2 linked regions of the Arabidopsis thaliana genome follow. The protein of the gene in region 1 interacts with the protein of each later gene in a pairwise test. Each region holds a gene or a part of one and is shown on either strand. Other genes may lie near its edges. The genes, in order: NodGS and CNX2.

The links.
Region 2: the proteins of NodGS (region 1) and CNX2 interact in a two-hybrid assay, tested with the Arabidopsis thaliana proteins (one large-scale study listed by BioGRID).

The regions. Positions count from the first base shown.
Region 1 is NC_003074.8:19,705,066-19,712,020, forward strand, and holds NodGS (nodulin/glutamine synthase-like protein), read left to right. Parts: upstream 1-1,754; 5' UTR 1,755-2,002; coding exon 2,003-2,164; intron 2,165-2,368; coding exon 2,369-2,718; intron 2,719-2,806; coding exon 2,807-2,922; intron 2,923-2,999; coding exon 3,000-3,105; intron 3,106-3,247; coding exon 3,248-3,404; intron 3,405-3,476; coding exon 3,477-3,572; intron 3,573-3,638; coding exon 3,639-3,687; intron 3,688-3,816; coding exon 3,817-4,088; intron 4,089-4,203; coding exon 4,204-4,376; intron 4,377-4,461; coding exon 4,462-4,582; intron 4,583-4,665; coding exon 4,666-4,718; intron 4,719-4,810; coding exon 4,811-4,940; intron 4,941-5,017; coding exon 5,018-5,163; intron 5,164-5,233; coding exon 5,234-5,422; intron 5,423-5,498; coding exon 5,499-5,731; intron 5,732-5,814; coding exon 5,815-5,957; intron 5,958-6,060; coding exon 6,061-6,123; 3' UTR 6,124-6,395; downstream 6,396-6,955. Other genes in the region: AT3G53170 (LOW protein: PPR containing protein), read right to left, coding at 1-770, 857-1,166, 1,276-1,352.
Region 2 is NC_003071.7:13,583,423-13,588,669, reverse strand, and holds CNX2 (cofactor of nitrate reductase and xanthine dehydrogenase 2), read left to right. Parts: upstream 1-1,966; 5' UTR 1,967-2,185; coding exon 2,186-2,251; intron 2,252-2,462; coding exon 2,463-3,056; intron 3,057-3,153; coding exon 3,154-3,321; intron 3,322-3,416; coding exon 3,417-3,608; coding exon of another isoform or gene 3,609-3,641; exon of another isoform or gene 3,642-3,782; coding exon 3,783-3,851; intron 3,852-3,951; coding exon 3,952-4,035; 3' UTR 4,036-4,047; intron 4,048-4,216; 3' UTR 4,217-4,649; downstream 4,650-5,247. Other genes in the region: LCR75 (low-molecular-weight cysteine-rich 75), read right to left, coding at 483-664, 889-961; LCR76 (low-molecular-weight cysteine-rich 76), read right to left, coding at 4,650-4,846, 5,177-5,240. UniProt on the Arabidopsis thaliana protein: Catalyzes the cyclization of GTP to (8S)-3',8-cyclo-7,8-dihydroguanosine 5'-triphosphate.

The sequences.
Region 1 (6,955 bases):
CCTTGATACTTCATTTTCCTGAATACATCATCCATTTTCTCAATTCTTCCAGCTTTTCCAAACGTCTCAATCACTATATTGTAAGTGACAGTCGTCAGGGAGAAGAACCTTTTCTCCATAAAATCCATAACAGAGCACATCTTCTTATACATACCAGCTTTTCCAAATGACAGGATCAGTATGTTAAATGTAGTGATATCCGGTTGCACCCCCATCAGCTGGAACCGACTATACCAGCTCTCCATCTTCCTCATGTTGCGACCATTTCCATATGACCCAATGATCGAGTTAAGCGTACAAACATCCGGAAGAGAATCTCCGTCCTCGATCATATCAGCCAGAACACTTTCCATTTCCTCAAACATTCCAGCCTTTCCATACCCATCAATAATAGTATTGTAAGTAACCGTGCTGCATCCAACTCCAAGATACGACATCTCAAGAACGATACTTTTAACCAGATCAAACCGACCCAGTTTGCAGCAACAACTGATGAGAACAGTAAAGGTGAACACATCTGGCTTGCAGTCACTAACAGATTTCATATACTCAAGTGTAGAAAACGCCTTGTCTAGAAGCTCGCTTTTGCCATAAACAGAGATAAGAGAGGTATACACATCAATGGTTGGTTTCAATCCTTCAGATAACATAACTTCGAAAAGCAAGCTGGCTTGATCAGGCTGTTTACAATTCCCAAGCACTTTAAACAGCTTTGTATAAGTTTTGCATCTTGGTTCATACCAATGCTGCTTCCTAAGAAGATTGAAAATCTATAAAGTAGAGAAACAGGAAAGTGAATTCTATCGAATCTATGTCCAAGTATCTGTAAGAATGAAGAAGGATTAAAGAGCTGTACCTTGAGAGCAGACTGCCATCGATTCTCTTTGATAGCTTCGTCAAGAGCTTCTAGAACAGCTTTTGGCCATAAAGTTAAGTACTTTTCGGAATTGGCTTTCCTCTCAATGCCCTTCACAGCAGCATCTGTTCTCAGAATCCGAGACAATTCTTTCTTAGGATCTACTTGGTGTCTTGTTGAGATCAAACCAGAATTCATTTTCTCTGTACGTTCGTTGGGGACCTTTGTCGAACACATTGTGGGCGTTATTGAAATAGTTGGTATACACCGAAAATAAACAGGGGAAGATATATGTTGCTGAACCACGCTTCTGCAAGAATGAGAAACAGAGAAAGATAGATTTAATATAAACACAACTGAAGAATTAAAGAAACGTAAAATTCAAAACAGTATGATTGTATGAAATATGAGAATGTTACCGAGAAAAACCAAGTTGTGCGATCTCATTGGCGTACGCGGAAGTAGTTCCTTGAACAGGATTTTGTATCAATGCCATCGAAGAAAAATGGTAGAAAGATAAGGTGGAGAAAAAGAAACTGCAAATTTTCTGGGTAGAAAGCAGAGCTAGAAGACGACGACGATACCGTTGTTTTTCCTTCGTTTTTTTCTTCTTCTCCGGTTTGGTGTAGCTTCTCTTCGGTTTGTAAAATATAATGAAATGGTTTTAGTTTTGATTTGGATGCCGGTTTAATTTGGATTTACAAAATTAAAAATTTAGCATTAATCAGTTTTTTCTTGTCCGGTTTAAAGGATTGGATTGATGAAGGAAGAACCAAATGGAGCTTTTTCCAATTTAATTTTGAATTCGAATTTGTTAAAACGAGATTGTCCTTGGCAAGGAACCGGAATTTGGAAAATGAAAAACCAAGAACACAGTTGAAAGTTATCCACACTAGTTAGGACACGTGGAGGCTAATGTATTTCACGTGGACACGTGCTCATCACTCTCCTCTAAACGCCGTCGTGAAGTTTAAAGGTCAGAGACATCGGCCACCGACCAAATCAGACAAGGAAAAGTCAACGATTTGATTGGATCTTCTTCACTTATGCTTTAAAACCGTTCCTGTAATAAACTGTGAAGATTGTAAGAAGATTAACACGAATCAAGAACATCGAACTGTTGACTTTAGACAGAGAGAGACGGAGATGGAGTTTAGTGAGTTAAAGGAAGCAATAGAGAAGATAGAGCTCGTTGATGCTCACGCACACAACATTGTCTCTCTTGACTCATCTTTTCCGTTCATCGGAACTTTCTCCGAGGCTGCCGGCGACGCTTTAACCTTCGCTCCTCATTCTCTCTCCTTCAAGGTACACGACGATACCAAGTGTTTTTGCTCTAGTTAGTTTTCGTTTGAATCAGATTCTAATTAATGAAAACGTTAGCTTAAAGTTTCCTAATTAGTCTCAAAAGTATTAGTTAACTAAAGTTTCGAGTGTTACTCAAAAGATGTTGACTTGTTTAGGAATCTCGTGAAGTTGGTATGAATGTTTTTGGTTGTATGAATGAAACAGAGGAACTTGAGGGAGATTGCTCAACTTTATGGCACTGAAGTATCTTTAGAAGCGGTTGAGGAACATCGTAAAACCTCGGGTTTGGATTCTTTTACTTCCAAGTGTTTTAAAGAAGCTCGAATCTCTGCTCTCCTCATTGATGATGGATTAAAGCTAGACAAGAAACATGATATTGAATGGCATAGAAACTTTGTTCCATTCGTTGGTAGAGTGTTGCGTATCGAAACTCTTGCCGAGCAAATCCTCGAAGAGGAGTGTCCTGGTGGTTATTTCTATGGTTCTGAGAGTACTGAACCGCCTGTTTGGGATTTAGATTCTTTCACCAAAACCTTTGTTGAAAGATTAAATTCATATCCTTTTATCTTTGCTTTTTTAATACACGCTTAATGATTGTGACTATACTCACTAGTATTGGTTAACCTTGACTACTTCGGTCACGCTTGTTCCAGAGATTGTTGCTTTGAAAACTATTGCTGCATATCGTAGCGGTTTGGATATTGATACTTATGTGAGTAAAGAAGTTGCTGAGAATGGCCTTGTTGAAGTCTTGCGAGGTAAGATGGTTGTGCTTGGTCTATCAAGAAGTAACATAGTTGTTGTCTGATCACCTTAAAATCTAATATTGCTGCAGCTGGAAAGCCTGTCCGCATAGGAAACAAGGGCTTGATTGACTACATCCTTACCATTAGTTTGGAGGTCGCTGTGCGTCGCGACTTGCCCTTGCAGATTCACACCGGGTATGCAAGATTTGATCAACTATATGATTGATGTTAGTAAAGTCTGATCTTTTTATCAAACAAACCTTACACAGAAACAGAAACTCATGCTCAGAGGTTTGTAGTAATGAAAATTCTCCTTTTCTTTTGTTGTTTGAGCCAGTTTTGGTGACAAGGATTTGGATTTGAGGTTGTCGAATCCTCTTCACCTTAGAACCCTTCTTGAAGACAAAAGATTTGGAAAGTGTCGTATAGTTCTTCTTCATGCAGCTTATCCATTCTCAAAGGAAGCATCCTTTCTGTCTTCAGTTTATCCTCAGGTTTTTCGTCATCCCATTTCAATTATCTGTAAAATCATGCCTAGTCATTAACTTATTTTCTTGTTCCTTAAGGTTTACCTTGATTTCGGCTTGGCGGTTCCAAAGCTTAGTGTCCATGGTATGGTTTCTTCAGTTAAAGAGCTCCTTGACTTAGCATCAATAAAGAAGGTAAAATTTATTTTACTTGCATTATCTTTGTTATTGTTCATGAGTAACCATAAGATATTATTGCAGGTTATGTTCAGCACTGATGGGTATGCATCTCCTGAGACCTACTATTTAGGTTAGCTCAAGTTTCTACCTCTTTTCTATAGTTTGTAACATACTTATATATGTTCCAATCCTGTTTCTAAGCTTTGGCACTTGAAATCGTCTTGCTTCAGTCTTGAACATAGCTCGCTGTTTTTTGCAGGTGCAAAGAAAGCACGTGAGGTTATCTTCTTAGTTCTGAGTGATGCTTGTGCCAGTGGTGATCTCTCACTCATGGAAGCTATTGATGCAGCTAAAGACATATTCTCACGAAATTCTATTGGATTTTATAAGCTTAATATAGACACAGATTCTTCTAGTCCACAAAATATAATATCTCCCAAATTGAAGATAAAGGAGCCTGATGTTCAAGAAGATAGTAGTTCTTTTGTACGCATTATTTGGGTTGATACATCTGGACAACAAAGATGCCGTGTGAGTTTTTTTTTTTTGGTTTCTTCTAAAGAAAAAACCTCTGTTTCCCACCTCAACGATTTTTCCTTAGAAGCACAAAAACTTAACTAGAATTCTGTTTATTGTATTGTTTCAGGCTGTTCAAGCGCAGCGTTTTAACAGAAGTGTGAAGAAGAACGGCGTTGGTCTGACCTTTGCATCAATGGGGATGACTTCATTTACTGATGGACCAGCAGAAGAGTCTAAATTGACAGGTGTGGGTGAGATTAGACTTGTTCCAGATCTATCAACCAAGCAGACAATACCTTGGTACTTTACTCGTGTTCATTCTCTTTGGAGTTAATTTTACAGATGTTTCTTTCTTAATTGTTTCCGTATCATATTTTATCATTAGGACGAAGCAAGAGAGCATGGTTTTAGCTGATATGCAATTGAAGCCTGGTGAAGCATGGGGGTACTGTCCACGAGAGACCTTAAGAAGGGTCGCAAAAGTTCTCAAAGATGAATTTGACTTGGTAAGAAATCTCCATATAGCCATTCTACGAAAACTTTTATTTGCTTTTTGGTTGCTTAAGCTCAAATCTTCCTTGGCTTTTAGGTAATGAACGCTGGTTTTGAGAATGAGTTTTATCTCCTCAAGAACGTTGTGCGGTATGCGACTATATATTTCTTGAATACCGGTTTCTTTGTTCAATCCAATCATTTTCACAATCTTAACACTTGTTCTGTCCATTTTTTAAAAGGGAAGGGAAAGAAGAGTATATGCCTTTTGACTTTGGTCCTTACTGTGCCACATCCTCATTCGATGCTGCATCTCCGATCTTCCATGATATTGTACCCGCACTCGAGTCCTTGAACATCGAAGTTGAACAGGTTACAAATAATTCAAAAATCCCTCATAATGATCAGTCTGCAACATGCTTCTTGACATGTATGAAATTTTTTCATAGTTTCATGCTGAATCCGGGAAAGGTCAGTTTGAAGTATCTCTCGGTCACACCATTGCATCCCATGCTGCCGACAACTTGGTCTACACACGTGAAGTTATAAGATCGGTTGCAAGGAAACAGGGATTGCTCGCAACCTTTGTTCCAAAGTATGTCAGTCTCTCCCACCAAATTATTCGTTGTAACTGCAAATTTTTAACATATGTGTTTTTTCTTCAGGTATGATTATTGTGACATTGGTTCTGGATCACATGTGCATCTAAGTCTTTGGAAAAACGGCGAAAATGTCTTCCCGGCATCTAATAACTCATCTTCTCATGGAATCTCTTCCGTTGGAGAAGAGTTCATGGCCGGAGTTCTATTTCATCTTCCATCAATCTTAGCTATTATAGCTCCACTCCCAAACAGGTAACTCGAAAACCGTACTTTTCGAGTAATTTCCTCAATTGTTATTAAAAGTTGTGTGTGTCACTTAAATTTCCAGCTACGACCGAATCCAACCTAATACATGGAGTGGAGCATTCCAATGTTGGGGCAAAGAAAACCGCGAAGCAGCGTTAAGAGCAGCTTCTCCACCAGGAACTCCTGATGGTTTAGTTACTAACTTTGAGATAAAGTCTTTTGATGGCTCTGCAAATCCTCACCTTGGTTTGGCTGTTATAATGGCTGCTGGTATTGATGGTCTCCGGCGACATCTTCAACTTCCTACTCCAATAGGTAACTAAAAACTTATGTTATTCATTCTCATGTATATGTAGTGTTAATATGAAGCTTGATCTTGAGTTGTTCGGATGGAACAGATATAAATCCGGCGGATGTGGCTGCTACATTGAACAGACTTCCGGAAACGCTCTCAGAAGCTGTTGAAGCTCTGGACAAAGACAAAGTTCTCCACGATTTGCTCGGACAAAAGCTTTTAGTTGCCATAAAAGGAGTCCGTAAGGTAACACTATAGTCTTTTAGTTTCCCATTAGATTCTCAGTGGTAACAAAGTACATTAGCACTAATCTATTGTTTTTGTCTTTTTAAATTTTTTTGTGTAACAGGCTGAGGTCGAGTATTATTCGAAGAATCCGGATGCATATAAGCAACTCATTCACCGATACTAATCCTTTGAGCATCTCTATGATGATTGTTGGATCATTTGGTTTTATTGTGGACTTTGTGTCACATGAAGGGTCGTATTTGCAAAATACTTGACATAAAGATGTGGTTCAGAAAATTAATAAACTAAATTTCATATTTCGAGACGCATGCTCATGCTGGAGTACTATTTGTATTTCTTACTTTTTCGTCCCATGCTTTCAAAAGCCTCAAGAATATACAGAGTATTTTCAATAATACGGAGTAGTTCTTAATCATTTACATTTGTCTATGAATTGAATTTGACTACTAATACTCGGAAACAAAAAAATGATTGTAGTATTAGGAGCGCAAATACCCTTTAACCATTGTTCTTTCCATGTTCTTAGTCCGGCTATTGTTATCTAGGTAGGTGCCTGATCCCTTTTTTTCAAATCTTTCTTATTCATTACTTTGACTAATTAACCTATTTAATCATATTTAATCTCCCTTTAATCTGCAAACTAAAGCACATGTTTTTTTTTATGAAAGAAAAGGTTAGTATGACATTCTTTTGGTAAATCTCATCATATTATTTATTTAATTTTAAGAAATTGGAGTTTAAAGTGTAATTAAGTTATGCTACCTAGCTAATTTCCTTAAAATATGAACGATAAGTATAGAAATTAAAGTAAAGATTAGGTTTATACGGTACGCTTATTATGCTCAAACAAGTGGACGAACAAAATCCATCTCCATGTGACTATGGAAGAGAACTTATTAATAAGTCCAAATTTTTTTCTTGCAAACTTTATGATTTCATTCACACTAGACAAATTAATTGTTCGTAAGAAGGTATACGTACAACATAATGAGCTT
Region 2 (5,247 bases), on another chromosome or scaffold:
CCTTATTCCAATGTTCTTATGCTTTAATCTTCTTTAGAAGATGCTCGGTCGTTCTCCTCCTTAATATGTTTTTTTATTTAACGATCCATGTTTTTTCACCAACATACTGTACATACTTTAGCTTCATAATATAAAATCGAAAATGTTAAATATATACTCCAGAAAGTTTCTTTATTAATCTCATCGATTGAAAATGGGAACTTATATATAATCGGAACATGAAATATTAGTTCAATATTCTTTGTACATTTATAAAACCATAAATTTGTGTAGGAAATGAATCCAAACTTTCTTTTTTAGTATTTCATGTATTGAAAAATGATATTTTAGAACAAACTTAGAGAAAATCATTGCTTAAAACTGAGTTTTTTTTTTATATCAGCTTACATATAAATTAAAAAACCATAATCTTTTTAATCAATCAATAATGAATTGTGTTATTATTTTAAAATTTTAATATCAAAATAATGAGAAACAAGAACTTAATTAGGAAGGACAAAACAAGGTTTGCTACAAATGCATTTGCGGGTGAATCCTTTGCAACGACCGTCAGTGAAACCTTCGCTAATGCATACTTGGCGACAATTCCTCCATTTCAGACACATACCCTTCCAGTCCAAGCTCTTTGCTTCACACATTTGTTGTCCTTCAACCATCTCTATATCTATAATATAATACATTATCATTATTCAATAAATAATTGAATAATAATATAATTATAATCATATAAACAATCAATAATTGACTTATTCTTCAATATCATCAAATATTAAATTATTCAAGTAGATGCGTAAAACCCCATGCATTAAATATTAAAATATAAGCGTATATTATATGTTTTAGTAACTTTTTAATATTGTGAGTTTGTGAGAAACTAGATTTGCATACCTGGTGAAGCAAGAAGAATGGTTAAGAAGAAAAGTGTTGGAATTAACTGCATAGAGGTAGTAGAGCTCTTCATTTTATTTCCTACTAACTAGTTAAGCGATATGAATACGTGGGGAGAATTGTTGATATTGAAAATTAGCGTGAGAATGTCGCATTTATAGTAAACATGTGCACAAAGCTTTTTTGGTATATCAACGTATGCATACGATAATGAAGAACAATAGGAATATGTGGAAAAGAATCTGATCTTGACGAAAAATATCTGCAAATACACATACGAGAATATTTTGTTGTTTATATATATCTCTAGTACTGTACTGTACTGGTTAAAGATATATGCTAATGATTTTTTCTTTCTTTAACCACTATGAATAGACAATCTACCATAAGAGAAGAGATTGAATCAACATAGTTAAAGTGGGCCGAGGGGACTGATACAATGAACGTATAGACTATAGAGTGTTAAGAAAATTACAAAGTGGTAGTAATATCATAGATGAATTTAGACTAATGTGAAGCTAGACAGATATGCAAAAAACCATTCCTCCATAAGTTCTTCCAAAAAAAATTCCTTTATAATGATATATTTGTAGTTTAGATTTTGGTGTGTTTTGACTTTTGAGTTTATATCTTTATCCAATAAAACAAAGTTACGTACAAAATTGATCAAAGCCAGTCACACAGCCTAAAATTAACTTTAGATTACATTATCACTAACTTGCTTAGATAGGAAACCATCGTTTTAATCAATCAATCATAAATTTGGTTATCTATAAAGTTTTAACATAATATCAATATACAGAGAAATAAAAAATTTAGTACAAATGTTTGGAGTTTGGTTGTTACATAATTCGCAGATTGTAAAATTTAATAGTTTATTACATTAAACAATGATGTAAGCACAGTTAATAAATTATTATTCTAATGACATATCCGATCCAGATGCAATCTGAATTTCACTCGGACCAGTAAATTTACCAATTGAGGTCGGTTTGATTGCCTATAACCGGTAACCGGCGAGACCGACAGATATCATCAGAAAAGACGAAAGAGTTTCATGTTTTTTTTTTTTTTGTTTAGGCTTTTAGCCAAACTCTCTCTAGTCTCTCTCTCTCTCTCTACTTGAGAGTGCCGTCTCCATTTTCTCAACGTAGTCGTTTATTTTGAACAAAGACTCTCTCCGTTTACCAAAGGTCATCTCTTTTCTTCCTCCTTCTCTCACTTTTGATTATATTTTCTGACTTCCTCCTCCTTTCTCAGAAATTCTCTTTCGATCTTCTCTACAGTGTTGTTAACGATGAGGAGGTGCTTCTCCAAAATTACTGATTGCCACTTGGGTTTCAAGAATTCCAACTTCTTATTGGTAAATTTCCCAACTTTACTAATTCTCACTTCTCTGCTACAATGGGTTTCGATTTCTCCCACTCAAGTTGGTTGCTTTTTCGAATTGATTTATTCCTGTAGCTACTAGTATTTGCTTATATAGTGTAAAGGTTAGGGATTTAAGAGCTGAATGAATTCATTTTGTGTTCTTTTATTTAGAGAATCAATGCTTATTTGGAATTCTTAAACAGGTTGGTTCTGAAGTTGGTTCAGGTTCAGTAACGAGAACCATTACTACTACTACTAGTGAGCGTTTATTTAGCAGTAGTTATGCAGCTCATCAAGTTGATCAGATAAAAGACAATCCTGTCTCTGACATGTTGATTGATAAATTTGGTCGCTTACATACCTACTTGAGGATATCTTTGACTGAGCGGTGTAATCTCCGGTGTCAGTATTGTATGCCGTCTGAAGGTGTGGAACTTACTCCTAAGCCTCAGTTGTTGTCACAGTCTGAGATTGTTAGGTTGGCTGGTCTTTTTGTTTCTGCTGGTGTTAACAAGATTCGGTTGACTGGTGGCGAGCCTACGGTTAGGAAAGATATCGAAGAGATTTGTCTGCAGTTGTCTAGTTTAAAAGGGTTGAAGAATTTGGCTATTACTACCAACGGTATCACTCTTGCGAAAAAACTACCAAGGCTTAAGGAATGCGGACTTGATTCGCTGAATATCAGCTTGGATACTCTGGTTCCAGCAAAGTTTGAGTTTCTGACTAGACGTAAAGGGCATGATAGGGTTATGAAATCGATTGATACTGCTATTGAGCTTGGATACAATCCTGTGAAAGTATGTTTATTAATCCTTCTTCATGTTTTCTGTTTGAATGTAGCAGAACGATATTTGATGTTCAAGAGTTTTTGCAAATCGTTCTTGGTTTTGACAGGTCAATTGTGTTATCATGAGGGGATTGAATGATGATGAGATTTGTGATTTTGTTGAGTTGACACGCGACAAGCCAATCAATGTCCGGTTCATCGAGTTTATGCCATTTGATGGAAATGTTTGGAATGTGAAGAAACTTGTACCTTATGCAGAAGTGATGGATAAAGTGGTAAGGTAGAATTCTCTCAATGTTTAGCCTTTTTTGAGATTACTCAACTTTTCCTTGAGCATTTTCATGATTGGTTTCAGTTGTTATGGTAACAGGTCAAGAGGTTTCCGAGCATAAAACGAATGCAAGATCACCCAACTGAAACAGCTAAGAACTTTACGATCGATGGGCATTGCGGTTCTGTTTCTTTCATCACATCCATGACAGAACACTTCTGTGCTGGCTGCAATAGATTGAGACTTCTTGCAGATGGGAACTTCAAAGTTTGCTTGTTTGGTCCTTCAGAGGTAAAGTACATTTCCAAATTTTTCCATGGCTAAAAGTCAGTAACTGTTGATTCAAGTGGCTGCGAACATGTACAAGTGTGCAATAACTTGAGTACCGGTAAACATGAGTATTCGTGGTTGCTTCTCAATAATGTGACGATCATTTTGTTTCGCCCGATGATTTCTTGTGAACAGGTTAGTCTGAGAGATCCTCTCCGGTCTGGTGCTGATGATGAGGCGCTAAGGGAAATTATAGGCGCTGCTGTAAGTATTTAGTTGCTTCATCTGATTTTACGAACCAGTCAAGAAATCTTTCCTCTGTTTTTCGTTTCTGTATTGACTTAAAATTCACAATGGGTTTCAGGTGAAGAGAAAGAAAGCTGCACACGCTGGAATGCTTGACATTGCTAAAACAGCTAATAGACCAATGATACACATTGGTGGCTAAGCTCCGGTGAACGTAAGTTCTTTAATCCATTGTTATGTAACTCATAAAAATTGGATACTTTGTGTCGATTCAAGGGTTTTGACACTTGATCTCAGTAACAAAGTCTTTGATGCATTGATCCGTTTAGTGTAACTCTGCGTTTTGATTCACGTGACTCATCGCGTCATATTTCTCTTTACAGGTTGGTGAAGTTCCTGGAAAACACTACAAGGAACATTTGAGTTTTATATCTTGTAAGAATCTATCTGCTGCTCCCAACTCTGTGAGACTGTGACAAACTTTTTTGCAAACAAGAACAAGAAGACTGAAGAGTTTCTCAAACTGTTTCTTCTCTGTATACGTAACAGACACTGTACAGGAACTCAGAATTTCCACACGAATCTTTTCAGTCCAATTACTTTTCTTATTTATGGCCAAAAAGATCAACTATAAGCTTTTATTATGTTAAGAATTTTAAAATCTTAAATTTGATAACAACAACAAATTCACTTGCGATATTGATCAAAGCTTATTGTATAATAGAGTTTTGAGATACATGACTTGTACTCTGCTGTTTTATTAGCTTACATAAAAATAGGTATCTTATTAATGGCTTATTCATAACAATATAATGTCTAGTTTTCGGTAGAAAGAAGAGCACAAGGCTTCCTGCAAACACATTTGTTGTTGAAGAATCCTTTGCATCGACCATCAGGGAAACCTTCGCTAATACATACTCGCTTGCAACTCCTCCATTTCAAGCACAACCCCCTGTAGTTTAAGCTTTTCGTTTCGCACAATTGTGGTTGTCCTTCAACAACCATCTTCATACCTATAAGATCATGGCATTTTATTATTCAATAAGAAATCAAATTTATAACCATAAATATAATCAAGAATGACCAAAGCTTTTTGTTTGTTGATAACTTATAACCAACCAATATCTTTTTATTGCTCCTAACTCCTAATATGTGTTTATGTAAATATGTGATTTTCAATATTCTATGGCAAAGTATGAGATAAGTTGTAGTGTTGTTTTTTCATTATCATAATAGTTTGAACTAAATAGTGTATGCATAAAAACAAATGTTAAACTAAACAAGGGAAATAAAGTATAAGTTTATAACGTATAGTTTAGTAGATTTGTTTAGGATTTGTATACCTGGTGCGACAACAAGTATGACTAGGAAGAAGAGTGTAGAGATTAACTGCATAGAGCTCTTCATTTTGATA